Linked DNA regions of Ovis aries. The protein of the gene in region 2 purifies or fractionates together with the protein of the main gene of each other region. This does not show direct contact. Links are inferred from orthologs where the notes say so. Each region holds a gene or a part of one and is shown on either strand. Other genes may lie near its edges.

Region 1 (17,115 bases), about 41 Mb from region 2:
GAATATCCACTCAAATCAGACGGGTGTGGTATAGTGCACTCTGTCTAACTCTTTACACAGACACGCTACCACAAGCTGAAAGTGCACGGCAGAGAAAGTTCCATCAGGAAAATGTAGAGCTGGATTTGAATATTAACCATGATGGGAAGAAGACTATTCCTGCACGTAGCTTAGCTATGACAGACTATACTTACTGATGGTAATTTCCACTTGGTTAGTGTAATCTATGGCGACTCCCATGGGCAAGGAATCATCACTCTTGTCTGTCACAGGCAGTTCAGCTCGACTAGAATCCTCCAGCAGCCAAGATTCCCAGCTATTCTGGAAAAAAGAACAAGTAGAAGAAGATACAGCGTTGCTTAGAGCTTTTTCCAGCACTGTTCAAATAGGAGAGGAGAAAAAGGGAACTCACTTGGTTTAGTATTGCATTCCCTGGGACTCTAAAATCTGGAAACATAGTCTAAAAGCTACGAACTCCGCAGGAAGCAAGGGGTTCCTTTTCCAAGTCTTTCTATCTTTTCCTGGTGTACAAAGCTCCTGTCTGGTGAATAAATATCACTATCACGAACATCCTCTGACATGTCCTCCACCACATCTGAGTGGACTCCTGACACAGTGGGACCATCTGACAGCTGCATGGAGCCAGCCAGCAGCTGCTCTGAGGGATCTGCATGGGGACCAGGAGCGCCAGGTGACAACGGCTGCGGCCGTGAGCACACAGCCTAGAAAGCTGCCGGACGCCCCATGCTCACTCGACCACAGAGGCAGAGCTCTTGTCTTCCTAGTTCTCAGTGTATTTCCTCCAACGGTCAATCTTCCTGCCACCGGATTCCCTGAGAAGCCACATCTTTCCAATAAACTCCCCTTTGGCTCATGTTTGCTTGAGTGGGATCTGTTCCCTGCAACAAATGACTCCTGGTTTTTAAAAATCACAGCCATTTCGTCCAACTTTCAATGCTGACCAAAACTGGGCAGCATGAATTAAAGGAGGAATAATGCTCAACGAGAGACAGAAAAACAAAAAAACTGTTGAGGAAAGAAAACAATTGTGATCCAAGCCTTAGGCATGAAGTGAACAGTCACATTCACAATAACGTTAGTAAATGAAACAGGTTCCAACTTTGAAAAACAATCGGCAATACAACAATACACAAAACAAAGAAGGCTTGCTAATCACACAGGGCAAAATACAACCAACGTCAGCTTTGATTTTGTGGAGTATGAGATGCAGGTGACAACAGCTTACAGGTGGGCATGGAGGAGCTGTGCTACAGGCAAGGGTGGGTACTGAGATGGTCCTCTCACAGCCCGGAAGATCATGAGAGATGCTACATGGTAGAACTGTAAGAATCGAAAGTAAAAATGACTTACAGTTCAAAGGTAACAAGTAGAAGAGACTGAAACAGTGCTCTAATCCTATTGAAAGGAAGGACAGGAGTATAAAGGCCACACGTGAGCTAAACCCTCATTTGCATCATGGCCAATAATTTAAAGTTAACAATTGATAACCAGTGATGCAATAAATTATTATTTCGGGATAAGGAGATAACCATTAAGAGAGAGAGACCACAAGTTAAAAATGGTCTCTTTCAGAGAACAGGACAGACCAGGACAGGATGGGAAGGGCTGCTATTTCACGTATAAGCCCTTTTCCACTACTTGACTTTTCAACCATGAACATAAATTACTTTGATAAAAAGCAAAAATCAGAATGTTTCTTAATGTGTGAATACATAAAATACTTGTGTTATCAGGAGATTGTTACTGAAGTTAATCCAATTGGAGATTGTTACTGAAGTTAATCCAAGAGCAGCAAATCAAGAGTGCTGGACTCTGAGAGCTAAGCACTTATGGTGGGCCACCGTGCCACTCAAGAGAAGGGTGGATAAATGCTGAATGACTGAAGAGGCACAGGATGCACAGAACATTTTCAAACTCCAGGTAGACTTTTCAAAAGGGAAAGTTTTCGGCTGAGGAACTGTGTCTTCCGTGTAGTCTCTCTGCATAAGGGGAGTGTACCATGACAACCTCAGCCCACTCTGGCCTGCAAGGAGCACAAAGCAAGAGAAGGAAGATGGGGGCTTGTCTACACAGATGCTTTTAGCTTTCTGGTGGTTTTCCAAACAGAAAGTATTTCTCAAGAGTCACAGTTTGGTTTGACTTGCATGTCTCTCTTCCATAATCAAGGATGGGTTATAGTTAACTGAATAGAAGAGGCAGATTCAAGTAATAAGGAGAAAATAAAGACAGTTAAACAGAATAAAGCAGAAAAAGGCTCCTACACACCCAGGTACACTCGTATTGGAATACATTCAATTACGACTATGGGTATGAGGTATTCATGGAGGGTGGAAACAAACAGAGGGCTTTGGCTAACACTGAAGGAACTGCTGAATCCAGCACCCAAGTTTGTCCAACACAACACCCAAGCCATTTGGTCCACAGCTTTTTTAAGCTGTGCTCTCATCCAGAAACTCAATAAAAGGAGTGTGACTTCAGCTAAATCTTAACCTCACAGTTAAACCCCTCCAAAATCTCTCTCAGAACAACATCACATAAAAGTGACAAAAGAGAAACATTTACCTGGCTGCTTTGTCGCGCGAGGATGCTGACTTCTGTGGAAGCTGCGGATGCTGCCAGCACTAAATCCCTTCAAGGAATAAAACCGGAAGACCATTAAATTCAAACGGCAACAGCTGTACCTTGACTTGAGTCAGTGGTGACACCTACAAAGCTTCCCTAGATGTCAAGGAGAAAGGCGAGCTTTCTACCTCGTTGAAGGTAAGAAGATTTTGGACGTAAAGCGTACTTTTTAGTCCACAGGGCAGAGCCCTGGAGACTCAGCCAACTGTCTCCTTACTTAAGACAAAGGGGAGGCACTACAGAATCAGTTCAGATCCCAATAAATATACCACTCTGAACAGAGAATAACCTAACTGAAGCAAGAGAAACTTTGTTTCAAGAAATCCATCTTTCAAAGGGACACTTCAGCTCAGAGGGAAACTTTTAATATGTTCCTTAAATATCTGTATTTTCTTAAGTCATCAGTGGACTTATTGAGAAAATGGGATTTTTAAGTTTAGTGTGTATTCGAGGTATATAATTCAAGACTGGGGAAACAGATGTAGTAGTCAGGCATTATCCAACATGAGCTGAATATATGGTTAGGGCATCTCCAACCTCTATTCTCCTCTCTTACAGAGAGGAAACAAAACAGAACAAGCAGGACAAAATGACCCAGGTGTGCCCTCCCTCGTCCACAGCTCACCACTCTTCAACGAAGCTGAGGTAGTAATGATGCTGCCTCTCGGTACAGCTGCCATAGCAGGGCTCCATGAAGTTCATAAACACCTCAGGGTGCTTTTCCTCTTTTTTCTACATTGAACAGAATGAGAAAAAAAAAAATCTCATGGGTGATTTTTCTTTAATCCTACAAAGTTAAGAATCTCAAAAGATAAAATCCTTTAAGTTTTATGAAAAAAATTTACTGAGAAAATAAAAAAAGAAAATACATAGACACACTATAAAGACAACATTGAGCAATACAAAGAACAGAAACGTTGGCCATGGAGATTACTCAACTTCTCTGACAATGTTTTTCCCTATGTATGATGGACCTACACCTAAAGGAAATCATTCCTGAATATTCACTGGAGGGACTGATTGTGAAGTTGAAGCACCAATACTCTGGTCCCCTATGCAAAGAGCCAACTCACTAGAAAAGACCCTCATGCTGGGAAAGATCGAAGGCAGGAAGAGAAGGGGACAACAGAGGGTTAGATGGTTGGATGGCATCACCAACTCAACGGACATGAGTTTGAGCAAGCTTCAGGAGATGGTGAAGGACAGGGAAGCCTGGCATGCTGCAGTCCAAGCAGTCGCAGAGAGTCGGACACGACTCAGCAACTGAACAGCAACAACAAATGATGGACCTAAAAAAATCTACATCAAAGGCTGTTTTAACTGAGATATGAAAGGATATGTAGAAAGTTTCTAATCCAGGACACGGAACATAAACGGTACTCAGCAAATGCTAGTGTTAACATTATCCCTGGGAATAGAAAATCTTAATCTTGAAATAAGGCACCTTAACAAACTTATTTTTAAAATTTGACATTGTCAGGAACCCAAAAAGTTAATAAAAAGGAGGCACTTTTTTCTCATATCAGATTGGCAAAGATTAAAAATGGTACCACTGCATATTGACATACTTTGTTGTTCAGTCGTTGAATAAGTGAATGAATTTTGAAAATCAACATATTTTCTTGCTTTTCTAAAATGATTTCATCAGATTAACACCTATCATAACTCACAGTTTACAACTTAAAATTTTAGGATTTTTTTTCACCATATGGCTCAACAATAGAACGTGCTCTAAGAGGACACCACCATTTTGGTCCTCAGGCCCCTAGTGCAGCATTAAAAAAATCTCACACCTCAAGTGGTACCACTGCCAGTAAGGAAAGGAGAGAGACGCCTAAAGCCTCTAACTTTATTAGAAGACTTATATAATTCTCAAATAATCAAGACACCGCTTTCACACACATACCGGGAGCAGAGCCATCACCACATCTGGAGCCGTTTCCAAGGTCCCATCCGCCGCGGCATACACTATGGTGAATTCATAGGTGCCAATCCACAGAACGTCCAGAACTGAAAGACACACATCCTAATAAACCATCTCTGTGCTTGGAATAACCCCTGTACATTATAAAATTATCAGCTCATAGATAAACAAGTATCCAACTACTATAGCTTTTAAAAAGGTCTAGACTTCACTAAACGTAATTCACAAAGATTCAAAAAGCTCAAATTCATTCCAGAGTGGTATTTCACCCCCAGCAGATGATAATCAAAGCAAATAATGAAGAATTCTAATTAAAAAAAAAAAGTCAGGATCCATTTAACATCATTTACCAAGTGACACAGGTATCTACTAGAGAATTACTGTTACGGTGACTTAATTGTGTATGTATGCTGTGCTCAGTTATGTAGCTGTGTTCAACTCCTTGCCGCCCATGGACTGTAGACCACCAGACTTCTCTGTCCGTGGGATTTCTAGGCAAGAAGACTGGAGTGGGTTGCCATTTCCTTCTCCAGGGGATCGTCCTGTCCCAGGGATCGAGACCTAATTAGCTAGCTGAAACAGTGTTTTCACACAAGAGGCACCAGCACTTTCCTGAGCCGGTATGCAGGCCCCACATGGTCTAACATTTCTGCACCACAGACAGTGCCTCATTAGACGTTAGCCCAGTGAGAAAAGCAGATGCATTACCTCTGACGGGATGGTCTGCCTCATAAAATGGAGGACAAGGAATGACTTTCTTTTCCTGCAAAGTCTGAAAGAGATTTGAAAAAACCAGTGTCAAACAAAACAATCCCCAGACCGCAAATCCAACAACTGTATTGTCGTTTTACAGGCCAATGCCCTAAAAGAACATGGACCAAATTTCATGTAACGACTTTCTGTGCTGATAAAGAAGAAACTGAACCTGAACTTGAAGCCTGTCCCACCACATTCACCCTCTGTACCCTGCAGAGAACAGGAGGGATACACAGCAGCACAGGCCTCTGCACTGCCCGCGAGCCTCTCCTTCTCAACCGGGTGTGATCGGACATACACAGATTCTCTGCCGATTTATACTGAAGAGTACTCAGGAATATTATCTCTGGAAGACCACAGGAAAAGGATGACAGAGTGGGCACGCGACAGCTCTTTCCTGCATTCTCTTGGGTGCAGACAGATTTGTTGCAAGGAACATAAACTATATTTCAATAGGAAAAAACAGCAAAGATACTACCAAACCAACCCCAAAACAGTTACTTGATAAAAATGCTCTGAAGCCCAAGGCAAGACTTACAGGAAGATACTGGACCACAGTTCCATTCTGTTTCCCCACAGCCAGCTGCTTTCCTTTGGGGCTCCAGCACACTGGGTAAAGAAGAAAATACTACCAATTAAAAACTGAAGAAAATGGAGCAAACCGTGAGATATGTACCAAAACAGCCATGTAATCACCACTTCAGGCTTCCCTGGTGGTTTAGCGGTAAAAGATCCACCTGCCAATGCAGGAGGTGCAGGCTTGATCCCTGGGTCAAGAAGATCTCTTGGAGAAGGAAATGGCCACCTACTCCAATATTCTTGCCTGGGAAATCCCATGGACACAGGAGCCTGGCGCGCTGCAGTCCATGGGGTCGCAAAAGAGTCCGACGTGACTTAGCGACTAAATGGCAACAATTACCACTTTGTGTTCCTCTTTCTGTCAGTCCATGGAAGACTGTGGGATCATCCTTACTTGGCAAAGTAAAAAAAGAAACATCATGTCGATGACACAATCGAATTGTGATTTGTTACTGGGCCATTGAACCAGTTGCTAGAAAGGCTTTTTCAATGGAGTATTGCCCAGAAAGCTGTGAAGTGCAGAAAACTCCAGTTTTTAGATAAATCGAGGAGGATAGAAAAGGTTTTCAAATATCAAGAAATCTTTCTCTTGCTTCTATTGGATATTTTCTAATGTTTTCCCCCTAAGGTACAAATGACTGTTTCAGAGTCTGATCTTTCAGGTCAAAATAATTATTTCAACAACACAGTTCTAAACCAAACATTTCTATACCCAAACATTTCACCAGAAAACCCAAGCACACTGAAGGTAAATCATGTGTGCTGTGTGGCTTCAGGGACAGTAACTACACAAATAAAATACACTCTCTCCACTTCTACCAAAAAACAAGTATGACAAAGAGCCCTATTTGCTTTTTTCCTCAGAGATTAATTTTTAAATAGATGACCATTACCGTATGTTAAAGAGTAAAAGATGTTATTACTCACCAGACGTTACTCCTACTGTGGAAGGAAGGGTCGCACACACTTTCACTGTTTCTGTGACTTGTAGGACTGCAATGCTGCCGTCAGCCAGACAAACTGCCACCATGGAGGAGACTGTAGGGTTCCACTTCATGTCAATCACCAAGCCTCCTGCATCTTTTAAGAGCTTATGATATGCAAACGGACGCTTCTGCTGTTTAGCCTTTTAAAACAAATGCCCAGAGGCAAAAATAAACAGATAAATACAGAGACATTCAATGGTCCAAGAAAATTATTGAATATGCAAGTTTTCTCAAATTACAGTTCACTTTTCCCCATGACCATGAAAAAAAACTGTAGCCCTATACAACAGTCTATTTGTTACAGAAAATTTTAACATAATTTTGAAAATGGCCATCGATTATTGTAGCATACTCAGAGGGACTCTCAACAGGGAATACACAAATGCAAAATAATGGATAAAGAGCATATACTAAATAAAAACTGAGACTCTGCTTCTTAATAGTGTTGGGTCCTTGAATTTTAGAGAGTGCTCATCTTAAAATACTGCGCTTATTTTAATTGGTACGCAGAAGCCCCAGCAGGCTTCAAAATTCCAAAATTGCCTCAGTGAAAGATTTGTTGTAGAAGGCTAATGAAAGATTAATGATATAAAAGGTGCTTCAATATGTATGATTGAGCCCCTTCACCATTCACCTGAAACTATCACAACATTGCTAATCAGCTATACCCCAAAACAAAATTAAATGTTTAGTTTAAAAATTAAGAAAAAAAAGAGAGACCACCTGAGACCAGATTAAAGGCCTGCAGGCCCTGCACACAGGCTAATCTTCCATCAGCAACCCCGCCGTTGAGCCATTGCTGCGAAACTCCTTGCCAAAGCCTCTGGGCTTGAGGCGCAATTTCGGGGCACGAGCCTGCTGCATCCCCCTTTCCCCAGGAAAGGAATAAAGAAATTCCTTTCTACTGAAAAAAAAAAAAGTGCCTCAAACAAACCCCACCCCCCACCCCGCCCCCCGCCCAAGTACTGCTGGACTCTTGGTTACTTAAACTCTTTAGGCCTGTTTCTCTATCTCTGAGATGAAGACCATGATACCGAGTGTATGAGGCTAGTATAAAGCCAAGAGGGGTGGGCATGGATAAAAACAAGGCATGCAAAGCGCCAGCACAGGGCCTGGCACGCAGTCAATCTCAACACTCAATCTCACTGACGATTACCATTACTACACAGCCTGGAAAGGAAGAGCACTGCGGTGGGAGGCCAGACACCCAGGATGCAGGAACTTCTGACACTGTCTACTAACTCTGCGGCCTCAGGCAAGTCACTTAGGGTCCCTGGGCTCTGGCTGTCTCAAGTGTAAATGAGAAATGACAGCACCCTGGGGCAGGTGGTATTACAAAATAATTTCTTGAAGTCCCTATTATCGCAAAGATCTTGATTTATGATTCCGTAACTAAGGACCTCTTAAAAACCCGAATTCAACTCTAGAAAAAGAATTCAAAGGTCAACCAGGAACTTCTAGGTTATGATTCAACACCAGGCACTCTCCTTAGGTCCCTAGAGTTTGCCGGCAGCTTACCTCATTTGAGAATGTGCGAACATCAAAAAAAGCAATAATGGAACCATATTCACTGGACATCATGCACACGGACAGTGTGAGGTTATCGCAGCTCAAGGCCAGGTGATGTATTGGGAATTTCATAGGAACCAGCAAGCTTTGAACTTTATCAACTGAAAACCAAAAAACACAGAGCAGAAAATGGAATGTTTGAAGCATAAGCCACAAACTCTCTCTACTCAGGTCTATGTGACATCATTCTTGCATCTACATAAACGTACGCACACACACCCGGATACCAAGTTGTGCAGAACTGCAGCTTTCTTATAGATGGCTAATGCTGCAGTGAGTGCTGTCGGGGCTCTCCCTCATACGGCCTGGGGAAACCAACTGTGGCCAGAGCCCTGGCTGAATATAGTCCTGTACCATATTTCTGCAACAATGCTCCAAACAGTACACATTCCCCTGTGTTTGGATGATGCTATTGTGACAACTAAAAGGCCATGCAGCAAAGTTCTTCTCCTACAGAGCCAGAACCCAAGTTGAACTGAACAACAAAAAAAACGTGTGGCACCATGGTAAGCCGTTCTTCCCTCTGAGTTCAGAGGAACAAGTCACCGGAAGAGAAATACAAAGGAGCAGAGAGAACACCCAGGAAGGCGTCCAGCAGCCCATCTAGCACTCCCTCTTCTTGGGGGTCAACCTCAGGACTAACAGTAGTTTTGCTATGTAAAACTTGGGAAGCAGATGACGTTAGCACTTCTCTACGCTCCTCTCTCTATCATGCAACAGAAACCAAGGAACTTACCTATTTTATTAGGATCATCTCCAGGTTTATTCTGAATAAGAAGATTTTTAGTAGAAAAAACGTGCAATCCACTGGCTCCACCAGCAAAGACCAGGCCGTATTTGTTGGACACAGAAAGCAGACTCGAGCGTTCCTTGGGCAACTCCTCAGGAGAATCAAAGATTCTCACTTTCTTCAGTGCTCTAAACTGAAAATCCTATGGTGCAGGGTCAAAACAAGATCAATTCAGGACAAACAGGACGTTAGATTACCTGTCATATTCTGGTACAGCAAAATATATATTACCCTAAGAGTAAAGACTGTGTGGCTGGTTTGACCCCTGGGTGGGGCAGATCGCCTGGAGGAGGCAATGCCAACTCACTCCAATATCCTTGCCTGGAAGATTCTATGGAAAGAGGAGCCTGGTGGGCTACAGTCCATGGACTTGCAAAAGTTGGATGCAACTGAGCATGCACACGTTAAGTTGTACTATACATATTTTTTTCCCTTCAATTCTAAATCTATCTTTAAATCAAGGTTTTAGTGAAAAGAATGTAAATTTCCTTTTGCTTACACTCTAAGACATAAAAACCAAAGACAGCCTTTCTCAGCCTCCATTTGTGTACCTTTATGGTGTTTCCTATGGCTTCCCTTGTGGCTCAGGTGGTAAAGAATCTCCCTGCAATGCGGGAGACCTGGGTTTGATCCCTGGGTTGGGAAGATCCCCTGGAGAAGGGACAGGCTACCCACTCCAGTATTCTGGCCTGGAGAATTCCATGGACTATATATAGTCCACAGGGTCGCAAAGAGTTGGACACGACTGAGTGACTTTCACTACACTACGCTACATGGTGTTTTCTACAGGATCCCCACATACTAATTCCCTTGGATGTGATATTTAAACATATTTGGTAAAAGAGTAACTGAAATAATCTTCGTAATTGCAACTGTGTATGGTGATCAGAAATCCACACAGATTTCCAGATGAGACCATAGTTCAGTTCAGTCTCTCGGCGACCCCATGGACTGCAGCATGCCAGGCTTCCCTGTCCGTCACCAACTCCCAGAGCTTACTCAAACTCACGTCCATTGAGTCAGTGATGCCACCCAACCATCGCATCCTCTGTCGCCCCCTTTTCCTCCTGCCCCCAGTCTTTTCCTGCATCAGGGTTTTTTCCAAAGAGTCAGTCGCATCAGGTGGCCAAAGAATTGGAGCCTCAGCTTCAGCATCAGTTCTTCCAATAAATGTTCAGGACTGATTTCCTTTAGGATGCACTGGTTTTATCTCCTTGCTGTCCAAGGGACTCTCAAGAGTCTTCTCCAGCACCATAAAGTTTTCAGTTTTTTGTTAATTCTCATCCTGATAACCTCTGGGTCTTGGTAATCAGAAACTCAATGGGAGACCACCATTTTCTGAGTCTGTGGTTCTAAAACCTTTTTATCCTTCTGCCCCAACCTACATGAGGGACAGGGCACACTCTCATTGGGTTGGTCACCCTTGGCAGAGATTCTTAAGAAGAGACTTCTACTCTTAACATGGTATGGATTACTACTTCCTACTGCATTTCAGTGAGTTGTTGTCTAAATGCCTAAAATCTTCCTATGACTTATTAATATTTCCTTTCTATGGACATGAGTGTGAGCAGTCCATGGTGTCGAAGAGTTGGACATGCTGGAGCGACTGAACTAAGCTGAGATTTGGATCATCTGGTCCTCTCAAGTTTCCTGACTTCAGAAGGATTTCCAGTGCCAAAAACGGACCTCCAAATCTAGTTAATTAAAGGATTTGTGGGCTTCCGTGGTGGCTCAGATGGTAAAGAATCTGCCTGCAAAGCGGCAGACATGGGTTTAATTCCTGAGTCAGGAAGATCCCCTGGAGGAGGGCTTGGCAACCCACTCCAGTATTCTTGCCTGAGAATCCCATGGACAGAGGAATCCGGGGGGGCTACAGTCCATGGGGTCCCAAGGAGTCGGAAACGACTAAACACAACAAAAGCTCCTGTAGGATAAGGGATGATCCCTGCTCTGCGTTAAGCAAGCCTGGGTTACAGGCTTGAAATTCAGCGACAGAGAGAGAATCTCTCCTCTGCTCACAACAACCTAGATTTCACTCCGCCTGTCAAGGGCGGCTTTGGGTAAGTTAACTTTCCGAGCCTCTATTTGCTCCTCTACTTACCAAGTACTTCCTAGGGTCGCTGTGATAGTTACCAACGCCTGGCATGCAAGTAAACGCTCAATAAACAACAGTTATTCCCATACTCCGACGACCACATTAAAGTAACCACGATAACTCAGGAGGCTCGCACAAGACCAGCAGGGGACGCGGAAAGTACATTCCGTGGGGCTTTCACGCCGGCTGCACGGCAGAGCGCTCCAGGACGCTCTGGAGACAAGAACTTGCATCGCCTCACACCGTTCAGTCAGGAGGCGGGGCAGCGGACACCCGCGCTTCCCGGGTCAGGGAGGCGCCAAGGCAATACCAGGATTAAGGAAGGGTGGGAGGCCCTGGCCAACACCTGACCTTCATCTCCCGCTCAGGGATCACGGCATCCATTTCGTCTCCCATCGCGCGGCCTCAGTTGGTGAAAGGAGCCCCCACCGCCGCCGTCCGCGGCCTGGCCCACACAGCCCAGGTCTTTCCGAGGCCAACTTCCTCCCCTCAGAGCTTGCGACGAGATGCATAACTCGCACTTCCGGCGCGCTTTTGGTGACGGCACGCATTTCGGCCCGCGGCGTGGCTGAGGAAGGCTGAGGGGACCTTCTGAAGTCGCGCGGCCGCCTCCTGGCCACCGCCTCCCATTGGCCGGCTCGGAAGAGGAGGAGGCGTGGCCTGGCAGTCACTGCGCCTGCGCCCGGCTGCTCCCAGGCCGCCGCTGTCGTCTGCAGGTGGCGTGGGCTCGCCTCGTGTGGGTTTCCTTTAGTCGGTAGTGCAAGCGCGAGATATCCACGCTCGTTTCGTTGAGGCTTCACAGTAATCTTTGGATGTAGGTGGTTATTAATACTTTCGATTTCAAAGATGTTAGGAACTTGAGAAATATTTCCAAGGAGCAGCTCCTGAGAAAGGCTTTGGACGGGGTGTGGAAGGAAAAGGTGTTCAGAAAATTGATGGGACGGGGCCTCTCCCCTGGTGTTTCTGAAGGCTGAAAGGGGAGATTAAAGGGCCCCAGCGATCAGCTTTGTTTACTCCTTTTAAGGTAGTCATTTCTGGAGCAAGAGCCAGTGAAAGTGAAAGTCTCTCAGTCGTGTCCGACTCTTTGCGACCCCATGGACTATACAGTCCATGGAATTCTCCAGGCCAGAATACTGCACTGGGTAGCCTTTCTCTTCTCCAGGGGATCTTCCCAACCCAAGGATTGAACCCAGGTCTTCTGCATTGCAAGCGGTCTCTTTACCAGCTGAGCCATGTGTAATTGAATATTCAAGACGTCCTAGTCACCTAGGGATTATCATTGCCATTTAATTGATGAGGCAACTGGAAGCACAGGGAAGTCAAGAAGATTCCCAAGTTCCCCTCAGTCAAAAAGTGGTGAAGGCCTGATTAGAATTCAGCATGTCTGGATATGCTGATTGCCAACTGTTACACAGTCCAAAGGAGAGATTTTTGTAGTGGAATATTATAGACACTCTAGGACACAGATTCTTAATTTGGATCACATGGGTCAGCTCCAGGGGGTGTATTGTGCTGCTTACTATTTGGTTTTCAGCAAACTGCTTATCTCCTCCAAGCCTGCTTCTCATTTTTCAAGCAAGGCTGATACACTAGAACCTTACTCATGGGGTTGCTGTATGCAGTAAAGGAAGGTCAATGTCTAACAGCCTGGTACACAGATACAGTCATTCACTTTGTCACTATGTGAGCTAGCTCTTCTGAATTTCCTGAGTGTCAGAGCCATCCCCAGGATACACCAGTCAAGACATGGATAAGTTTGTATGTTTTATTTCCAGTCTGTAGAGATGATATCCAGTATCACACACACTCACACGCACACACACACACACATACTGCATCCACCTTAACTTGCCCGACACACTCCTTCCTTTTGAATGGCAGGGACAAAGCCATACTTGGCAGTCCCCAAGTTGCTGGTTACATTAGTTAGATTTGGTCTTTCAGAAAGAAGGCAGCTGACATCTAAGAAGCTGAGCCCTTAGCCAAAGAAGTAAGAGTCCTATAGCTAATAACCACAGTCTGAAATACATGCAGACCTCCCTTTCCAGGAACCACTCTTGAGACTCTCTCCCTTCAGGAGCTGCATTCCAAGAAATGATGAAGGAACTGGTGGGGTTTCCCGGGACACTCCCCATCCAATGAGAGAACCCTTTCCTGCTCTTTCGAAAAGCTGAAAACACACCCACTTGCTCTCCTCCCTTAAAGAGGCTTCCTGCAATCTTGTAAAGTGTGTAACCACTGCACTAAGCCTAGATGGGTCTGCCCTCTTGTCTGAGTAAGGTACAGATACACTATGATGAAAGGTCAAGGAAGGCATTTCCTTGCTCAAACGTCTCAGCCTGTCCCAGAAAGGAGAGGCAGTGGGAAGGGGAGGAGATAGACACTTGCTCAGCTAAGGATCTCGGGGGTGGGAGCAGGGGAGGAGATGTGGGGGTGAGATTTTACATTTACAGGGAGGAATGTTTTGCTGGGGTTTAAACTTCAACTAGGCTCATGCATTTGAAGTACCTCCTTAGACTGAAGATCAGCCAGTCATGGCCGAATAATCTTGTTCCTGAACTGGTCAAGACCAGTGGATTAATCCAACCTGGCCATATCCCCACCCCCTACCTGCTCCACTTCCTCAAAAACTGTCGTCAAGTCAGCTCCTTGGGTCCTTGATTATGGGTCAAAGGAGCCACGGGGAGCTCACACTGGCTCCAGCCTCCAACAGCCCCCAGACCTTCCCACTTGAAGTTTTTCAAAGTCTTGTGCAGGACTCTTGCCCAGTCTTGGGCCCAGTTAGGCCCCTAGGATTGCAATGCAGTCACCTCATAGCTTCCTCTTTCCCAACATTCATCACCAGGGTCTGAATTCCCCACTAGACTCTAAGTCTGTCCTTTTCAGTACTGGCCGGTAACAGGTGCTTATAAACATGTGCAATGGATGAGTGCATCTAAGTCCTGAGTGGGCAGGGGAAGGGACTATAGAATACAGGTGGGATCAAGGCTGACGGCCCTGCTGATCCTGCCTCAGAGGCACTAGGAAGGGTGAATCCTGGCCCAGGGCCCTCCCCGAGGGTTGACCTAGGAGACTGCCCCTCCCTGTCCCTTCCCTTGTTTTCATCACTGACTGAGGCCAGCCCAGAGCAGAGACGAGGCAAGGGCAGAGGGTATCTGAACACCCAGGCCCCAGTCCAGATCCCCCATCTCCAGATAAACCCCTGACCTTGGACAAGGCACTTAATCCCTGTGGGTCACCACAGTTTTGTCACCTGTGAACTGAGAGGCCTGCCCCAGCTAACCCACAGGGTGGCTCAGGGCTCTAAAACTCTAGTCCATAATAAAAAACACAGGTGACCCTGATCCAATTCCCAGGCTCAAGGTTTTGAGTGATTTGGAAACAGAGAGATGAATCAGAGAGACAGTGGGCACAGCACATGTCAGGACAAAGTGGGGTGGGGGTGGGGGCTTAAAGCTTGTAATAGGTTGTCAATAAATATCTGCTGAGTGGCTGAGTGAATGAATGAGAACGAATGAATGAGTGGTGTACGGAAGGTGTGGAGGCAAATGAGGAAGCAGAGTCAGGTTTCAAGCAGATCAGGCAACCTATTTCTCAGCTCCTGGCTTAACAGTGGTGTGCTGCCTCTCTGCCATGAGCACTGAAGTCCTCGCCCGCCTACCCCATCGCCCTCAACATCCTCCCTGAAAGGTGAGACTAGACTGAGCTGAACCCCTCCCCAAGGCCCCAGGATCCCCTCCACCTCTGAAGCCCCAGCAAGGGTCAGGGGGTACTGCAGCCTCCTTCTGAGCTGCCTGTAAAGGTGTGGCCGGGGGCAAGATTAGAGGATTCCTCTGGAAACTTCTGGAAGGGCTCACATTGCCAAGCCCCTCTCCTCGTCTCCTTCTGTCACCTCACTGAGAATAAGACAAGGCGTGGACCGGGGGAGACCAGCCGGGGAGGTGGGACCCTGCGTGGCCACATCCTAGCACACCCAAGATCCCTGTCTGAGGAAACCCTAACGAGACCTTACAGCCTTATCCCAACTCCAGGGTCTTCTAAAAGTGGGCTGAGGTCTTCACCAGGGCCAGGCCAGGATGCCAGGACTCAGCTCAGAGACCTGGAAGGACAAAGAGTGCCAGCTGCACGTGCGGGAATCACAGGCTCTGGTCTCCCTGTCCTGGCCCTGTTCCGTCTGGTTTTTGGTTTAATGTCAGCCCTTCTGCACAGGGAGGGGAGACGCAAGGAAAAAGAGAGGGAGGCGATCTGGACTCCCCAACCCAGGGCCCCTTTAAGGCAGATCATTTGTGCTATACAAAGAGATCACTGATTCTGCTGAAGAAAAAACAAACACACGACGACCAAACAAAACGAATAAGAGGTCACAGTGAGTCACGAAGGGTGAGGTCAGGAGGGAGGAAGAGAGTGGGGAGGGCGAGGCAGGTCCAGGCAGGGGTCCTCAGGGCAGGCTGGCGATGTCTCTCTCTGGAGGGGGCCCGACTGGCTTGGGGCTGCCCTCATTGGCTTTTCCTTCGAACATCATGACTCTGGTTTGGAAGTGGTGAGGAAAAAAAAAAAGAAAACAACACAAAACAGGATTAGAACTCTTTTCCTCATCCAGGGAAAGATCATCCCGGCCCTCACATCTGCAGGGACCACCACAGAATGCCTTTGCATCCTCTCTCCAGAGGGATTTCCCCAGAAGCCTCTGCAGGCAGATGGTCCCATTTTACAGAGGAGAACACTGAGGTGCCAAGGGGCAATGTGACTCAGAGCCACACAGGCAGAATGAGATTCCAGACTTCAGACTTCTGGGTCATGTGCCTCCCCCGACCATGCTGCCTGGAGGAGGCAGGGCTAGTCTGCGCTGTGGGTCTGCTCAAAACCCAGATCTTCAAAAATCTCCCACTGCTCTGACAGTAAAGTCTGGGGAGCAGAGGGTGGGGGTTCAAGGTATAGCCTCAGGAAGGAATCCCAGCCCTACTCCTTCCCAGCTGGTGCCACAAGCAAGATACTCAACACATGCTCAGTGTTTCCAACTAAATGTGATGATGCCCAAAGCGCTCACATCCTGGAGCTTTTCCAAGCGACAGTGTTCTCCTCCCTCTGGTCTCCCTCCCTGGGTAGGCTCCTTCAGGCCCCTGGCTCTGAATCCCATCCAAGGTTCGATCGTCCACAAAGGGCCTCTGAGCACCAGACCTGCACAGCCAGCTCCCTCCTCAACCTCTCCCCTTGTGTGTCTAGGGGCACTTCCAAGTCAATACATCAAAACTGAGCTCAAGTCCCACCTGCCCGCTGCTCTTCTCTCAAAGCAAACTGCACCATCACTCAGTCAGCTCAGAACCTAGACCTTACAACCATCAGACTCCTTGTTTTCCTTTAAACCTGGAAGCAACCCTGCCAGCTCTAACTCCAAGATCACCCCCGACTCCAACAGCCCCTGCCCACCTGCACTTCAGCCCCTCCAGGCTGAGCACCTCATTTCTTACTTGCACAAGCGTGTGAGTCTCCTAACAACCTGCCTGCAGCCACTCTTCCTCCAGTGCAGTCAGGGAGACCTTTTAAAAGTCAGCTCCGTGGGACTTCCCTAGTGGTGCAGTGGATGAGAATCCGCCTGCCAATGCGGGGGAAGGCGAGTTCATTCCCTGATCTGGGAAGATTCCACAGGCCGCAGGGCTACTATGCCTGGGCTCCACAACTACTGAGCCTGTGCTCTGGAGCCCATGAGCTGCAACTCCTGAGCCTGCGTGGTGCAACTGCTGAAGCCTGTGTGCTCTAGGGCCCAAGAGCTGCA
Region 2 (16,115 bases):
AAATCAGGCTTCAGTTCATCATTAGTACTCTCTCCCTTTTCTCCTCCAGCAGATTCAAGTTTATATTTTAAAAGACAGTTATGAAACTTTTCCAACTTTGCTGTCTTAATATCCTGGGTGTTTGTTTTTAATATTATGTTGTAAGGTATCCAGTGTATACATATGAAAAATTACAAGAAAAATAAAACCAGAGTAAAAACTTTATTTAGGAGTAGCAGCAACTATTATACATAATAAATGATAAGGATAAATAGATCCTTCTAAAGGGCAGGCTTCCTGTTGAAATGAACTGAACTGCCAGAAATGCTGCAAATGTTTCTCAGATGTCACTATCACAGGAGACCCATTTATCAGTGATCATCATGGTATCTTAGAATAATTAGCTTGAACTAATGCACTTATAGAATTTATGTAATTTTTCACATTACACCAAGTAAAGCCATACTTCAGCCTATATCTATATCCATTAAAGTTACAAACACACAAACCCATTGATACAACTATTTCACTTCTGGAAATTTATCATTTGTATATACTCACACATGTATAAGCTTCTTTAGTAGCAAGAAATTAGCACTTATTTCTGGACTGAACACTGTTCTCAATTCTTTATATGTATAAACTCAGTTAATCCTCATAACCTTATGAGGTAGGTATTATTCCCATCTTACAGATGGGTAGGTATAACGTTATGGGTTAAGTATTACGTGCAGGTACTTTATGGGTGGATGTTATTCCCATTCTATAGACTATACGGTAAAGTTATTGACAGTATATTCTTCTAATGGAATATAACACAGCCCTAAAAAGTGAAGAGGAAGCTCTCTAATACTGATATGGGGCAATAGGCCAGATATGCCACCTCACTAGGTGAAAAAGCCCCGTGTATGTCAGGTATTATCTGTGTAAAAACTGCATCAAATTAGAGACCTGAAATTATATACAAAACTTAGGGGACATATGCATTTGCCTAGAAGGAGAGTTACTAACTTTCATTACATTTTCCTCCAAACTGATTACGATTCTCCAGGCTGAGGAATACATATAAATTGTATATATACTAGGATTACATCTATCTATAAAAATATGAATAGGAAAATATGAAATATATGCAGTGGAATAATAGCATCTTACACTAAAACTCCAGATGGGCCAATTATTAAAATGATTACAAAGGTGGAATCTAAAAATCAAAACAGGGACTTCCCTGGTCATGTAGTCACTAAGAATCCACCCAGCAATGCAAAGGACATTTGTTCAATCCCGGGTCCAGAAGATTCTACATGCTGTGGGGCAACTGAGCCCGTATACCACAACTCTAGAGCCCATGCTCTGGAACAAGTGAAGCCACCACAAAAAGAAACCTGTGTGCTGCAGTGAAAAGCAACCCTCACGCACTGCAACTAGAGAAAGCTCACAAGCAGCCATGAAGACTCAGCACAAAGAATAAAAAGATAAAAGAAAAATGAAAGCAAGATAAACATAAAACAGGAACAGACTTGGAGTGAAACAGGTGAAGGGATTCGAGGTACAATCCTCCAGTTACAAAATAAATAAGCCACAAGGATGTAATATACAGCATAAGGAATATGGTCAATAATACTGTAGTAACTTATTAACTCGAAGGCCCACTTGACTTCACATTCCAGGATGTCTGGCTCTAGATGAGTGATCATACCATCGTGATTATCTTGGTCATTAAGATTTTTTGTACAGTTTTTCTGTGTATTCTTGCCACCTCTTCTTAATATTTTCTGCTCTGTTAGGTCCATACTGTTTCTGTCCTTAATTGTACCCATCTTTGCATGAAATGTTCCCCTTGGTATCTTAATTTTCTTGAAGAGATCTCTAGTTTTTCCCATTCTGTTCTTTTCCTCTATTTCTTTGCATTGATCGCTGAGGAAGGCTTTATCTCTTCTTGCTATTCTTTGGAAATCTACATTCAGATGTTTATATCTTTCCTTTTCTCCTTTGCTTTTTGCCTCTCTTCTTTTCACAGCTATTTGTAAGGCCTCCCCAGAGAGCCATTTTGCTTTTTGCATTTCTTTTCCATGGGGATGGTCTTGATCCTTGTCTCCTGTACAATGTCACGAACCTCCGTCCATAGTTCATCAGGCACTCTATCAGATCTAGTCCCTTAAATCTGTTTCTCACTTCCATTGTATAATCATAAGGGATTTGATTTAGGTCATACCTGAATGGTCTAGTGGTTTTCCCTACTTTCTTCAATTTAACTCTGAATTTGGAGCAACCAAGAGTAGCTCCCCTCCTCCACCGTCTGAGGTCAGGGGCGGCAGCCGGGAGGAGCTACCCCATGTCCAAGGAGTGGTCGCTGCGCTGGTACAGGAGGACCTAGAAGAGAAAGCCCTCACAAAGCAACAAAGACCAATTACAGTCAAAATAAATAATCTCCAAATCTTAAGAAAAAATCAGTTAATTAAGCTTTTTGTTCTCTAAATTTACCTCTAATGTATTATTATATTTTGGGGCTGCTATGGCTTAACTACTGAAGTTATTGATAAACAGCTAAGATCCCCAAAGGTCTTTGGAAAGGACTCCTGTGAGACAGGGGCTCTGAAGTCTAAACTTCATGAACCTCATGTTTAATTATTCTCTAAGTGCAAAACTTGATAAGGTAACAGGTATAACCTGACCCATACTGCATATTGAAGATCAGAGATCTTCACAGTGGCTTGCTTACTTCTTTTAGGTGCACAAATGCTTCTCAATGGGTACTCTTTAAGTGCTTTTAAGGGGAATCAACTTCAATATGCGGAGAAGGCAATGGCACTCCACTCCAGTACTTTTGCCTGGAAAACCCCACGGACAGAGGAGCCTGGTAGGCTGTAGTCCATGGGGTCGCTAAGAGTCAGACGCAACTGAGCGACTTCACTTTCAATTTTCACTTTCATGCATTGGAGAAGGAAATGGCAACCCACTCGTGTTCTTGCCTGGAGAATCCCAGGGACGGGGGAGCCTGGTGGGATGCCATCTATGGGGTTGCACAGAGTTGGACATGACTGAAGCAACTTAGCAGCAGCAGCATGTTCCTCAATATGAACTTTATGAAGTGATCTGCCCCAAAAGGTTTCAGCCATTTGCTAGTTTACCTCAATTCTTTGAAATATTCAACCTCCCACTTTACAAAAGTCATAGCTCTTATTCATTTTGTTGGCTCACAGTGTGAAAATTTCCAAGGGACAATTCCAGAAGGCATAGCTCGTAAGTTCCTTGTAAGCAAAGTAAAGGTTTTGGAAGAGGGGGGACTATAACTTTATCATGCTGGTAAAACTGGTAAGGTGTTTCACACTGTCACCTCTCTTTCTTCCCCTTCTTCGAATTCAAAACTCAGAAGAAAAGTTGTGAATACATGGTTTCTTGACATTTGAATGCATAGTTACTGGAATTTTTCTTAGAAAGCCTCTTTCTAAGAATCAGTGAGAAACAGTATTTTCCAAACTTAAAAGCTTTCAGCTTCTATTTTAGAAGTTTCATGAAAGACAATACGCTTTCACAGAACCTCAGCTGGACTATGCAGTGTTTGAATGCATATTTTTCCAAGATTTATCCCAAGTTTTAGAATAATGGATATTCTGAAATGAATCATCTTGATGGAGTAGATGACCAACAATGCAGGCACATTCTAAAATTTATTTGCAAAGGCAGCCTGAGAAACTTATAGTTCAGATTTGCCAAAAACTGTGAATCTTTCCTGAGGTTGTGACTTTGTATCTACTAAGGAACGCTATAGCTACTCAATGATTACGGTTTCTTTCAATCTAGGAAACTCATTAATATTAATCATCTATTTAATTTTCTCATGTGATGACTGAACTCTGAAAAACTCTGGAAGTTCTTTTAAATGATACAAGATTCACACAGCTGCTTCATGGAGACAAAATGACAAAACATGGCTTCAGGTCACCCTGAAGAACTAAGGAGATTGACAACTTGATAACTTAGCAGAGTATTAACAGGTACAATTTATGAACCAACACCATTTCCTACCTTAGCTATATAACTACATGTAGTTGTATAAACAAGATTTGTTTTAAATTAATACATTTTGGAGAGTTTGAATTAATAAAAGGTGAAAAATTAACTATGTTTTTTTAAAAGAATTGTTTCTAAGGGAGTCCTTTCTTTATCTTGATGGTCAGAAAGCACAAGAGATTTTAAATTAAGAGACAAGCAGAGCCTACCCAGCCCAGTGAAAGCAATGCGTAGTCAGCTAAGGCTCTGTATGTGTAAATACTTACACAAGTGGAACTTATTGCACATCACCTCACAGAATAAAGAGGAACATCCTGGGGGAGCAATCTAGTTTACTAAAATCAGGATGATTTTTCTATGTGGCTAGGCACAGATAGTCTAAGTAGTTGTTACATGGTCTATTTTTAACGTTGTAGCCTCTTAACAGCTCACTTGTGATCTAGTTGTAAACACCTTCTGAAGCAGAAATTTTTTTTCTATAGACAGATTAATCATTTCTGCTTAGTCTTTAAAATAAGCAAGCAAACACACCAGTTGTAATGCTTAATGTAACCTAAAGGGCAGGCAGGCTTGTCAACACCAAAGCTCAGGCCTTGGTCCCATCTTTTCAAATGTCTGATTAAGATTCAGACTTGAGGTGGACTCAAGAATACGATTTCTTGTGGGCCAATAGTTTGAAGAACAAAATGGAAAACACACCACTACTTTCTGTGTCTAAGAGCTAGATGAATCACAAAAAGGCCAGAAATACTTTAGGAATGGTTGGTTCTTACCTGATGCAGACATGCAGAGTAAGTCTGGTAATATCTGATCTCAGAACTTTTGAGACAAAGGGAGAAGGCCTACTTTCCTGTCACAGTTGTAGAAAAAAGATGTTCTGGGTCAGGAACTTCAGTTTAGGGTAGCAAGTACAGAAAATTAACGTTCCGTCCACCCATAATGGATCTCTTATGGATAATCCTGCTGGACTACAAAAAAAAAAAAGTGTATCCCAGCTTGCAAGAACTATGGCTTTAACCCTTTTTCACCAAGTAAATAATAGGTTTCCCATATAAACTTTCCCAACTCCTAGGCATGGCCTAACTCCCTCAACTTCTGTAATGCCTCCATTCCTTCAGGTTTTCAAGTCTTCATCTTGGTACGTCAGGATACTAGCTTCAGCAGTTACCTTGAAAATCAACACAGGGCCATTAGTAACAAAGACAAGGAGTGAATGGTTTTGTTTGCCACCTTGTACAGATTTTTTTCTTCAATTGTGTACAGTGAATGACAAAAACAACTGCCACTGTAAGAGGAGCAATTTCTTTGGTATTTTCAATACCTCAAAGCTTAGACTTATTTTCTCATGGAGTCAACTGCCTTTTGTCCTTTTCGCTCAACTTTTATAGTAAGACTTAATTCACTCTCCCCCTTTCTCATTAATAGAACACCAGTTTTATTCAGAGCAGCAATGCATACAGCTTTAGCATGGTATTTCTCAGCTTCTTATTAGGCAGGGTTATGGAAATCAGAATATTCCAAAGTGTTCTGCAACTTTTTCTGGGTCTTAAAAGGGGAAGTTTATTTTCCATGCTGCCCAGGATCCAAGTATAAAACCTGAAATTTCCACAACCATATTTGACCTTGGGGTATAACCCAGGTGCTTGGGGACAGAAAAAAATTTCTAAATTGCCTAAATCTTCTATCATAAAGCTGCACTTCCCAAAGATCTGTACTGGTTCTCTAGACACCACTGACATGAGCACTGCAAAATAAACTACAAGCAACTATTGTATTTCTTGTAACATGAGCAAAAACACCTTAAAATGCTGATTTATAAAGATATTATTAAATATGTAACTTTCGCAAGCTAATAGGGGCTTATTCCCTGTGGACTCTAGAATAAAACAGTAAATAAAAGTAAGTGTACTCTGAGAGCAAAGTTATTGGATAGAGGTGCGCAGGAGGGATTTGTTAGTTGGGAGAGCAGACAATACAGAATATAAACTATGCTTAAACAGGAAAAAAGAGAAGATACTTTAAAATACAGATCTGCATTAGTAACCAAATATTTTTCAAGAAAACAATTACCACTGAAATTAAAAACTACAAATGCAAAAGGCATGAACCTAAAATTGGGTACTCATTTGGGAAAAACACAAACTATGAAAAGCATTCTTAGGAACTGCTGGGGAAACCTAAACATGGACTAGATATATTATGGAATTATGGTTAACTTTACCAAGAGTGTCAAGGATGAAAAGCACAAAAAGTGGTAAGAAACTTTACAACTCTACTCAATTACTGTTCATTTTACCACAGTACTTTAAATACTGAAAGTACTATTTATATTTTTATGTGACTGTTTATAATCCAGACATTTTGTCCTTGAGTTTCTTCTAATCAGAACATCAAAAACTTCTTAACTTTTCTATAGGCTTGAGTCTTCACACATTACAGAATGGAATTGTTGGAAACCTTCCGGAAGGAACATCCAATACATACACCAGCACATCAGAACCATTAATCTCACAGTATTCTAATACTGCATTTTTACCAAGTCTATCCTTGCATGTCTGTTGGCATCAAATCTGCATCCTAGATCCTATCATAGACCTGACTCAATGGCGGGTTGATAGCCACTATAAGTTTGAATTCACTTTCATTACTTTCTGCTTTTTTCCCAACTCTAAGGTATTAATTGCAATATGTATTCTTATGCACCATCAAGAACAAGAAAACACTTTCAACTATGACAACAGTCTTTACTAAAAATAAAAGTTGGTTACAGAAGCCTTTTTGAAACTTCAGTATCAACTTCTTATAAATAAAACTGCACTGCTAGGCATTTGATGAACAATTCTTTGCATTATAGCTTATTGACAGCTTCCCTGCTTAGGTCCCAAAAACAACTTGGTTGCCACTGATGTCAGTAAATATGGAAGTGTGATTATTCTTCCAATGATTATTTACCCCCCCTTATCAAGTTTATATCCTGCTGCCTTCGTATGCCTTTTTGCATAGAAGTAGTATTTTGTTGCTGACCAATCTAAGACACTTTAATACTTTTTTGTAAGACAACTTTAAATAGCAATAAATGCATACAATTATTGAGTTCGCACATGGACAAGCAGGGAAATTTATCAACAGTACTGCCTAGCCACCAGTTTTTAAGGTGCCACAGATCTTCAGAGATGCTAAAATGTTAGAACAGCATCCTACTGTTGATATCCTCTTGACTCAGGAATTAGCTTTTGTAAGACCATTTTCAGTTCAAATGACTTGTCTATGATTTTAATGGGTGTCTAAACCAAGATTCAGACATACTTATAAAACAATTCCAGTTCTCTCTCACAATTTATAACTGAGACGCTGCCTTTTTGCAAGAGTTAAACAACACTGAGCCAAACATTTCAAATGGCCAGTTTATCAGTATGCTTTCTTGTAAAACACGTTGAGGCTGGCCTGATATGATTAACTTTTATTCAAGCAAGAAATGCCCACAATAAGTTTAATTTTCTATTAGCATGTTCTCATTTTGGCCAAAGCTTGGTTTCTTTAACATTCAAAACATATCAAGGTAGGCAATGGGGCTGTAGGGTAAGAAAAGTATACATTACCACTGATGGAAAGCTGATTTCAAATACAGCATATGATTTGAAACTGAACTCTTTTTACTGTTCTAAGAAAACTTATTTATATGCAAACACCAGTAAGAAAATCAAAGCTTTAACAGAGCTAAAGTATTAAACAAAGTACTTCAATATTCCTCTCTGTATATTTAAAACATCTTACTATTTTTTGTTTTAAAAAGACTTTAAAGCATGATTACATTCTACTGAAATAATGCCAATCTTTGCCAAAGACCTATATAAAAAGTTAGGAGAATAGCAATTATATGAAATTGCTGATTCTCCACAAACATGAGGCACTTCAAATGCTTAGGTTTAAGTATATAGAATCATCTAGAAACAGGCTCACTCAAGCTGGTTTCCTTTTTCTATTCCCTTTTCATATTTTGTAGGGAATCTACAGCTTTGTTACCCCCAGCTCCTAACCAGAGGAAAGATGCTTTTTAACTGCAAGTAAAGGTAAAATGTGTGCCAAGCTGTCACAGAAGGGATTGGTTTCTTGGGAACAGAAAATATCTCAGGAACATATTCGTTTTATACAAATGCTGCCTTTACTCAATAACCTTAGAAATAATACTTGGAAGTCAACAGTTATCAAAATTCATTTAAAAATGTTACCTAATACCTAAACATAAATAACCACTTTCATTAATACAGGAATAAGTTTGAGCCAATAAAGGGAAAATAAATGTAAACCAAGTTTATTTTGCTTTTTAAGTAGTGTTCTTAAAGCACTACAGCTTGGTAAACAATGTAAATTAGTATAAGTCATCTCAAAAGCCAGAGTTTTGTTTTGTTTGTTTTTAATGAGTTGTTAAAAAGATGCAGCCTATTCTAACAGGATAAATATTTTTAACCATTTCACTTTGAGTTAATGAAGGCTCACAAATGAGCAACACTCCTCATTGAGGAAAACAAAAAGCTGTTGTCGACAAGCGACAGCACACACACACAAAAACAAAAAGAACTGTGTAAAAATAACTAACTGTGTTCCCATATTTTTTGAAGTCGTTTACAATGGGATGATATGCACATGATCTTGCTGCAAACTTGCCATACAGACTTGTAATACATGTAGTCTAGACAAACAATTCAGTCCAAGAGGTGCTAACTTCAGACAATGCAGCACTATAATCCTTTTAACAACGCAATCTGTTTTACTCATTATCTTTTCTTCTAGACTGAAATACAGGCTAGAAAGAAAATGCTCCCTAATTAAAAATTGGTATTCTTTACAGGAAAAATTGTATACTTTTGCATCAGAATTTACAAGTATATGTTCAAATTGGATTTGCCTCCTCCCCCCATCCCAGCCACAAAATGGGGATGAAGTTAAAATTTTTAAAAATGCCGTAATTTTCAACTTCATGCAAACTAAAGATGACCAAAACAAAAGCTTAAACAATGGAAGGATATTTCACAGAAAATTTCTTATACAAAAAACACATAAGAAAAAGGGCCACTAGGTGACATTTTAATTTACAAATTGGCATCATTTTGGTCGACAAATATCCAGATGCTGTTTTCATCTGCTAACAAGAGTTGCAGAGGAAAAGAAAAAAAAGAAAAAAAAAAAAACCCAGCATGACTTCTGATTTTAATCACACATTTCTTCTGGAATTTCATGTGGATTAAGGATGCCTGGGACAGACATCTGAAGTTTGTGTTTTTCTTCCTGAGCCTGTCGAAGGGCTGTTTCTCGTTCTTCCAAAAAGAGATCCGATGTATCTTCACCTGCAAACTCCTGTGAAAAGATAGTTAACTGTCAACATACTTAGCAATGTAGATTATCCATCAATCGTTGGGCTTATATATATAATAAGACTAAATGTGTTGGTTGGAGGCAAAGATTACAAAAGAGGGATAGTATAATGCCACATATAAAACATACTTCAGGAGTAATAATAAGAAAGACTAATGATCAAGTTTAAGTATATTATCATCGTTCTCATAGCTATGTTATCAATTTTCATCCTTTATAACTCTGTATGAATTAGCTTTTCTTTACACTTAATAAAAAAAAATAAAACTTTGTATTTTGGAGGGGGAAAAAAACCTGCATGTTATGTTATCAATTCTTATTTAATAGATATGGACAAGAATTCATCAGCTCTTTTTGATTTCTTTAAAACACAACGATACAACAAAAATTCCTTTTCCCCTAAGTCAATGAAGCACCATAACAGCAGTAAATAACAGGCCGGTATCTGCTAATCACCATGGTTCCCCCTAAAATGAATTCTTTACTAACAATGGGGAAAATCTCAAAAGGAACTATCAACGTATTTCATTCCCCCCACTCCTTTAAAAGTATCTATGGGCTTCAATCACAATGTTGCAATAGACATGTTACCCCAAACATTTTAAACCAATCTCCTCTTCTGGCCTTGATTTAAAGTTTTTCCTTCTGTAATCTATCTCAAAAGAGTAAGACTGTACATATTTTAAAAGCACACTCATTTTGCTCATTACAAAAAGTGGTCAATTCTGGATGCAAGAATGCAATCAGTATTTACTCTCAACATTTCTGCAACTGCAAATAAAATACGTACCTTTATCTGTACCAGGAAATCCCGAAGATGTTCCTTGAATGCTGGAATATCCTGATTTAAGCTGAAAAGTCCTGTCACAAAGAGCTTTACTTGAGCGCTGCAAGTTAAAACACAATGATTAATCACCTAAAAAAAAAAAAAAACCTTAAAAAATTTGAGTTTATAAAAAGGGATATTTACTCTTGTAGATGAGGGAATGCAGACTTAAGAAGATTAGCCACATATTCCTGAATAAACATTTGGTTGTTAACTGGATTTCCAGGATTTAATGGTGTACTTATTTTTCCTTCTTCAACCAAATTAAACATATATGCAAGGATGGATGCATGCATTGTTAAACCTGTTGGTAAGAAGGACATCATTAAACTCTCAGATGTACTAACAATCAGAAGGAACATAGAATTTTTATAGCTTTAAATTCTTACCCGCAGTATGTGAAGTGTCTGTCACAACAGAAAAGATATGCTGAAGAATATCACAAAAATAAGTCTGATAAAAACTCTGAGCTGCAGCTTCTTCTTGTGCAACATTTTGTAAGAGTGTAAAAAGTATCTGTAAGCCTAAAAGACATATAAAGCCAACCAACTTATTCCATACTGACAACATTCACAATAGTACTTCAGCTATTAATTCAAAGTCCCTCTCTTTTTTTTTTTTTACGCTAAAGACAATTATTTGCCTAAATTATCTTGACTCAGTAATGAAGTTAAATTAGAATCAATGATTGCTTACTTACAGACTAATTAACCATTACCACCTTTCCATTATTTCTTAAGGTTTAGTTGATTCTCTCCCACATCCATTACTGATGCACTCAAAAAAACCCCATGACAAGTGAAGTGATACCTCTTGTCTGCAACTATAAATACACAGATAGATGGGTGTCTATTTGTAAGTGCCTGTATGTGGATTGTGGGTTGGCAGGCAAATAAAGATCATCATTTTTATGTATTTACCTGTATCTGCTACATTCCTCATGGTATGTTTAAAAGCCCAAATAATAGAATCCAAAACAAGTTTAAACTGTGCAGGTGGAATAGCCAGGAACGCTGGGAAACAATGAGAATTGACAGCCTGAAGTAGTAAGAAAAAGTTCGTTCTGTGTTCAGGATATTCTTCAAAGTCCTAAAAATAAATGGTGGGAACAAAATAGAAGTTTCAATGCCTTAAATTGTATTTAATGGAAGAGGGAAAGCAAGCTCTAATTCATTATAGATATTTGGAGTTGTTAGTGGATCCCATAAGATATATGGCCTACTGGAAGTCAAACTCACAGATAATACAATTCACCTGGTAAGGGAGAACAAAAATACTATTACACAAATGAATTGTCAATATGAAGGAATACAAGGTCATCTTATTATAAAGAGAATTCAACAAAACCCACGAAGACCATCACATTTTCTATTAGCATTGAAACTTGCCAGAGATTTGCTACCACTTTAAAGTGACTTTGAGATCAGTAACACAGATTAGAGAAGTCTACTGTGTAAATGTGTACACGTGTATCTACATGTTTTTTTTTGGTTAATACATTTTCCCATTCTTTATAAACATATACTACACTTTACTGAACTTTAACTAAAAACCCAGTGACTAAAATGTTTCAAGTTTTAAATAAACGCTAGCTGCTATTTGAATAAAAATCTTTGGCAAATTTTAAAAACAAGTACTTTTCTTATCTAGAAGTGCAAATGTTTTAACATCAGAGCCTAAAATTTATGCTATGCTTATAGACAGCCATCATTTACGCTTTTAAAAGTAATATGGATTAACTGTAGAACTTGCCATTATGTAACTGAAATGCAAATTGCATACCTTATTTATCATATTCAATGTGCACTCAAAAACAGCATCAAATATTTGAGGTATTTCAGCTGTTATATGTCCTCCTAACTTGTTGACAATAATAGCCATAGTACTAAGCACTTCTGGCTCTCTAGCAGCTGGGACATTTCTCTGGTAATCAATGAGAACTGCATCCAACAGAGGAGGAACAAAATTTTCAGCTACCTGTTTAAAAAAAAAAAAAAAAAACTTTTAATTTTAATTCAGGCACTTGCTAACTCTTACTAAGCAGCTAGGTCAATGTCACCTTGTAAGACTTAATTTAGGTTGATCATCTACTGAAAAACGGAAACTCTTATGGCTTTAATTCTGGTGTATTAGAACTTTACAAAGAAAAATCAAGAAATTAAAATAGGCAGAAAAGGGCCACGGACATTGTACAGCTTAAATCTATACTCATTAAAGAAAACTGGGGCCTGAAATCAAGTGACTAGCTCTAAGTATTCTGGCAGGACCAGGATTCTAGGGATACTGTGTGTGCGTGAGGAACAGGGAGGGTAAAGCCTAACTGTACACCGAAGTATTCGTATCGAAGCAGAATCAGACATCCACCATCAATGCTTTTTTAAATTTAATGAATGCTAACCGATAGTTTAATAATCAGAAATAATAACCATTACTTACTCTCAAAAAAGGAACTAAACTATGCCAGAAAGACTGTGGTAGGCTTTCCGAGATTCCCAATAAACAGTCTAAGGTGTAAACTCTATGCTTTATAATGCATCCTCCATTAAGATGTGCTCAATAAATATGATCATGTTTCATTTAACTAAACAGTAGTAGTGTCCCAATATACAAAACAGGCCTAGCAAGATTTGAAGGATAAGCACAAAATTATTTTTGTTTAATTACTAGGTTTTCTCTTAACTAGAACCGATTCTCCCTTCTTTTTCTTCAAGTTCTACTCAGACGTGATTAAGTTCTACAAGTTTACTTACATACATTATAAAATGATTATAGAAAAGTAAGTTTAGTGATCATAGATATTTCATATATAACACCTCATATAAACAGGCAAAAAGTTGTGATAAAAATGCTTAAGATTTACTCAACTTTCTTAGAAAACATACAGCAGTGTAAATTTTATATACCATGTTTGTACACTACATCCTTTTTTTGACCTACAACATGACATTAGTTCCTATTAACACAGTCAAGTGATTTAATATTTTTATATATTCTAAAATGATCACATTAAATTTATAGTCTGTTACCTTAAAAATATTAGTTCTTGACTATTATACACTATTTCCCATACTGTATACTTCATACCCATGCCTCATTTATCCTTTCCTTGACCACTCTCATATTTCCACTCTTAACATTGAATTTATTTTCCTACACCCTAAATCTGAATTATTTGACTATCTCTGAATTCACAGCCCCAAAGTTCAACATAAATCTTAGCTGTAAACTAGTTTGATACCTTGGTAATTTCATGAAGAAACTTTCCAGTATTAATAGGAACAATATTGAAATATCAAATTTATGAAAGTAAGTAGCACAGTGCTCAATGCTACTTCCATCCAACAGCGATGAACAGAAAAGGATTTATCGGAATGTTCCAAAGATCCAAAGAACAAAAGGTTTAACAATAACTAAACATAAATAGCTCCCCCAAGTTCACGCATATGGAGCCAATTACTTTTTGAAAACCATTTAAGACTGACAGGAAGACTTTCAAACCTTCAACTATAAAACTGCTTATTCCCACTAAGGAGGCAAACAGCTCTTATGACAGCTTTACAAATTGCTCCCAAAACCATCAGGAAAAAAAATTTCATTTGAACTCTATCCATGGAAAATAAAAATGACCCAATCATCTCAACTACCTTATTATATCACCACCCTCCCCCTACCAACAGCAATTTATTTGGAGGAAGGTATGTATCTTGGGCTTCCCTGGTGGCTCAACTGGTACAAAATCTGCCTGCAATGCAGGAGACCTGTATTCGATTCCTGGGTTGGGAAGATCCCCTGGAGATGGGATCTTACTATTTTAATGGACCCCCAAAACTCCAATAAATAGAATGCTATAAAGTAACACCAAATGTAAACATCTAAATTACCTTTTAAGTAGCTAAATGCATACAGAATATATACACGTTCTATAGAATGCAGTATCAACTTTAAAAAACAAAAATGACACTTCACTTACCATCTGTGGATCATTAGACCGGCTCACCCAACCAGATATTAACTTTAAAGTTTCTCTTTTTACTGTTCGCATACTTCTAATCAATGGTTGCTTTGTAACCATCTCACCTAAAAAACAAATCAGGTGGACTCCAATTTGACAACTAAAATTCTATATTGGCAGTTACATGTACTTCAGATACTATTTGTTTCCATTCTCCATTAGAAAACCTGAAGACAAAGAGTGCTCCTGCTCATTCATGTCCAACTCTTTGCAAGCCTATGAACTATAGCCTGCTAGCATCTTTTTGTTCCCGGGATTTTTCCAGGCAAGAGTACTAGAGTGGGCTGCCATTTCCTCCTTCAGGGGATCTTCCCGACCCACAGATCATTGGGAGGCAGATTCTTTACCACTGAGCTACCCAGAACGCCACAAAAAACAAGAGGACACAGATGAATTTCCTGGGAAATAGAATAATTTTATAAGGGAAAGGGGCATGTGCAACTCATTAAAAATTGTTGAGGACTGCCTAAAACACAGGAGGTATTTTGTCAAAAGTGCTAAATGCTTATGACTTTGGCCACCTCATGCGAAGAGTTGACTCACTGGAAAAGACTCTGATACTGGGAGGGATTGGGGGCAGGAGAAGGGGACGACCGAGGATGAGATGGCTGGATAGCATCACAGACTCGATGGACGTGAGTCTGAGTAAACTCTGGGAGATAGTGATGGACAGGGAGGCCTGGCGTGCTGCGATTCATAGGGTCGCAGAGTCGGACACGACTGAGCGACTGAACTGAACTGATGATCACTGAACTGAAGGCAGTGAATGTAGAACTAACTTAATATATTATTCCATAAGAATTCAGAATTGCTTACCATTAGCTTGAATAGCTGCAGAAATATTTTCACTGAGGCACTTGTATACATTAAGCATATCTAAATAAATTCTCCCAAGCTGAATCACAAATGGGTGTCCAACTGCTTTGCAAGCTCTCACATTTGTTTTCAGTATGCTACCAAGTTGCTTGACTGTTTCAGGATCTTTAAGTATATCCACATTCTGTAAGAACAAAACACAACTCCACTTATCATAATAGAATTCTTTTTCAAAGCAAAAAAAATTACCCACATCACTAAAAACCACCATTACATATATAATCTTGAAGTGTAAAAGTACTGCAAAAGTCTTTATTACTGAAGAATAGAGCAAAGTATTTCCCAAAATATGATCCGAACAGAATAAAAATGCTACCATTCTTTCAATGTGCAAAAGCACAAAAAGCACTATGGATCAGATATACATGTCAAGGTATAAAATTTACTACTTCTGTAAATGTAACTTTCTTAAGATTCCATTAGAACTTTTACAGAAAGTAACTAAAACTTACTTTGGTTGCTTGCTGGATTATGCTATCCCAAACCTGATTAGGAAGTAGCATATATTTTTCTATCAAATGTTCCTGTACTGTTTGGTCTGTTTGTGCACCGATCATGTACCCCACAGCTTCATAAAATGTATGGACCTATATTAAAAGGTAGACATGTTACTTGTATGCATTATAATAAGGAAAATCACATACAAATAATTCATTTACATAACAAGCTAATTTTGTTAACATATCAGTAATAAGTAGCAATTCAGTTTAACACACTTCTAATTAAATTTATGCCTCACTAGAAAAATTTAAACACAGAAACACTTGAATTGAATCCATTAGTGGCATTCTACCCCCATTAATGAATTCTCATTAGTTATTTTCTAAGAAAAATATGCTTACTGATCCACATACCTGTTGAGGTTGAAGATCACAAATTATAGTGTTAATATTGTTCAAAATCTCATCAATAAATGGCATTACTTCTCCAACCTGAACCTGAACGAAATGCCTGCGGCACTTTTGAGCTATTTTAATGAAAGTATCACAAGCCATGTCCTGGACTCCATCGTGGGTCTCTTAACAAAACAAAAAC

The links.
Region 1: the proteins of XPO1 (region 2) and NUP214 purify together in Homo sapiens (affinity purification with western blotting; 4 studies listed by BioGRID and IntAct, with this or other methods). This does not show direct contact. The link is inferred for Ovis aries from reciprocal best matches to the Homo sapiens genes XPO1 and NUP214.

Annotation. Positions count from the first base shown.
Region 1 is NC_056056.1:5,580,879-5,597,993, forward strand, and holds the start of NUP214 (nuclear pore complex protein Nup214), read right to left. Parts: upstream 11,853-17,115; 5' UTR 11,739-11,852; coding exon of another isoform or gene 11,694-11,738; 5' UTR 11,394-11,693; coding exon 11,349-11,393; intron 9,390-11,348; coding exon 9,194-9,389; intron 8,559-9,193; coding exon 8,407-8,558; intron 7,029-8,406; coding exon 6,830-7,028; intron 5,933-6,829; coding exon 5,862-5,932; intron 5,340-5,861; coding exon 5,276-5,339; intron 4,654-5,275; coding exon 4,550-4,653; intron 3,376-4,549; coding exon 3,269-3,375; intron 2,651-3,268; coding exon 2,584-2,650; intron 322-2,583; coding exon 195-321; intron 1-194. UniProt on the Homo sapiens protein: Part of the nuclear pore complex. Has a critical role in nucleocytoplasmic transport.
Region 2 is NC_056056.1:46,610,111-46,626,225, reverse strand, and holds the end of XPO1 (exportin-1), read right to left. Parts: intron 16,099-16,115; coding exon 15,935-16,098; intron 15,668-15,934; coding exon 15,533-15,667; intron 15,205-15,532; coding exon 15,021-15,204; intron 14,270-15,020; coding exon 14,163-14,269; intron 12,170-14,162; coding exon 11,975-12,169; intron 11,282-11,974; coding exon 11,113-11,281; intron 10,717-11,112; coding exon 10,582-10,716; intron 10,497-10,581; coding exon 10,337-10,496; intron 10,254-10,336; coding exon 10,157-10,253; intron 9,349-10,156; coding exon 9,202-9,348; 3' UTR 8,290-9,201; downstream 1-8,289. UniProt on the Homo sapiens protein: Mediates the nuclear export of cellular proteins (cargos) bearing a leucine-rich nuclear export signal (NES) and of RNAs.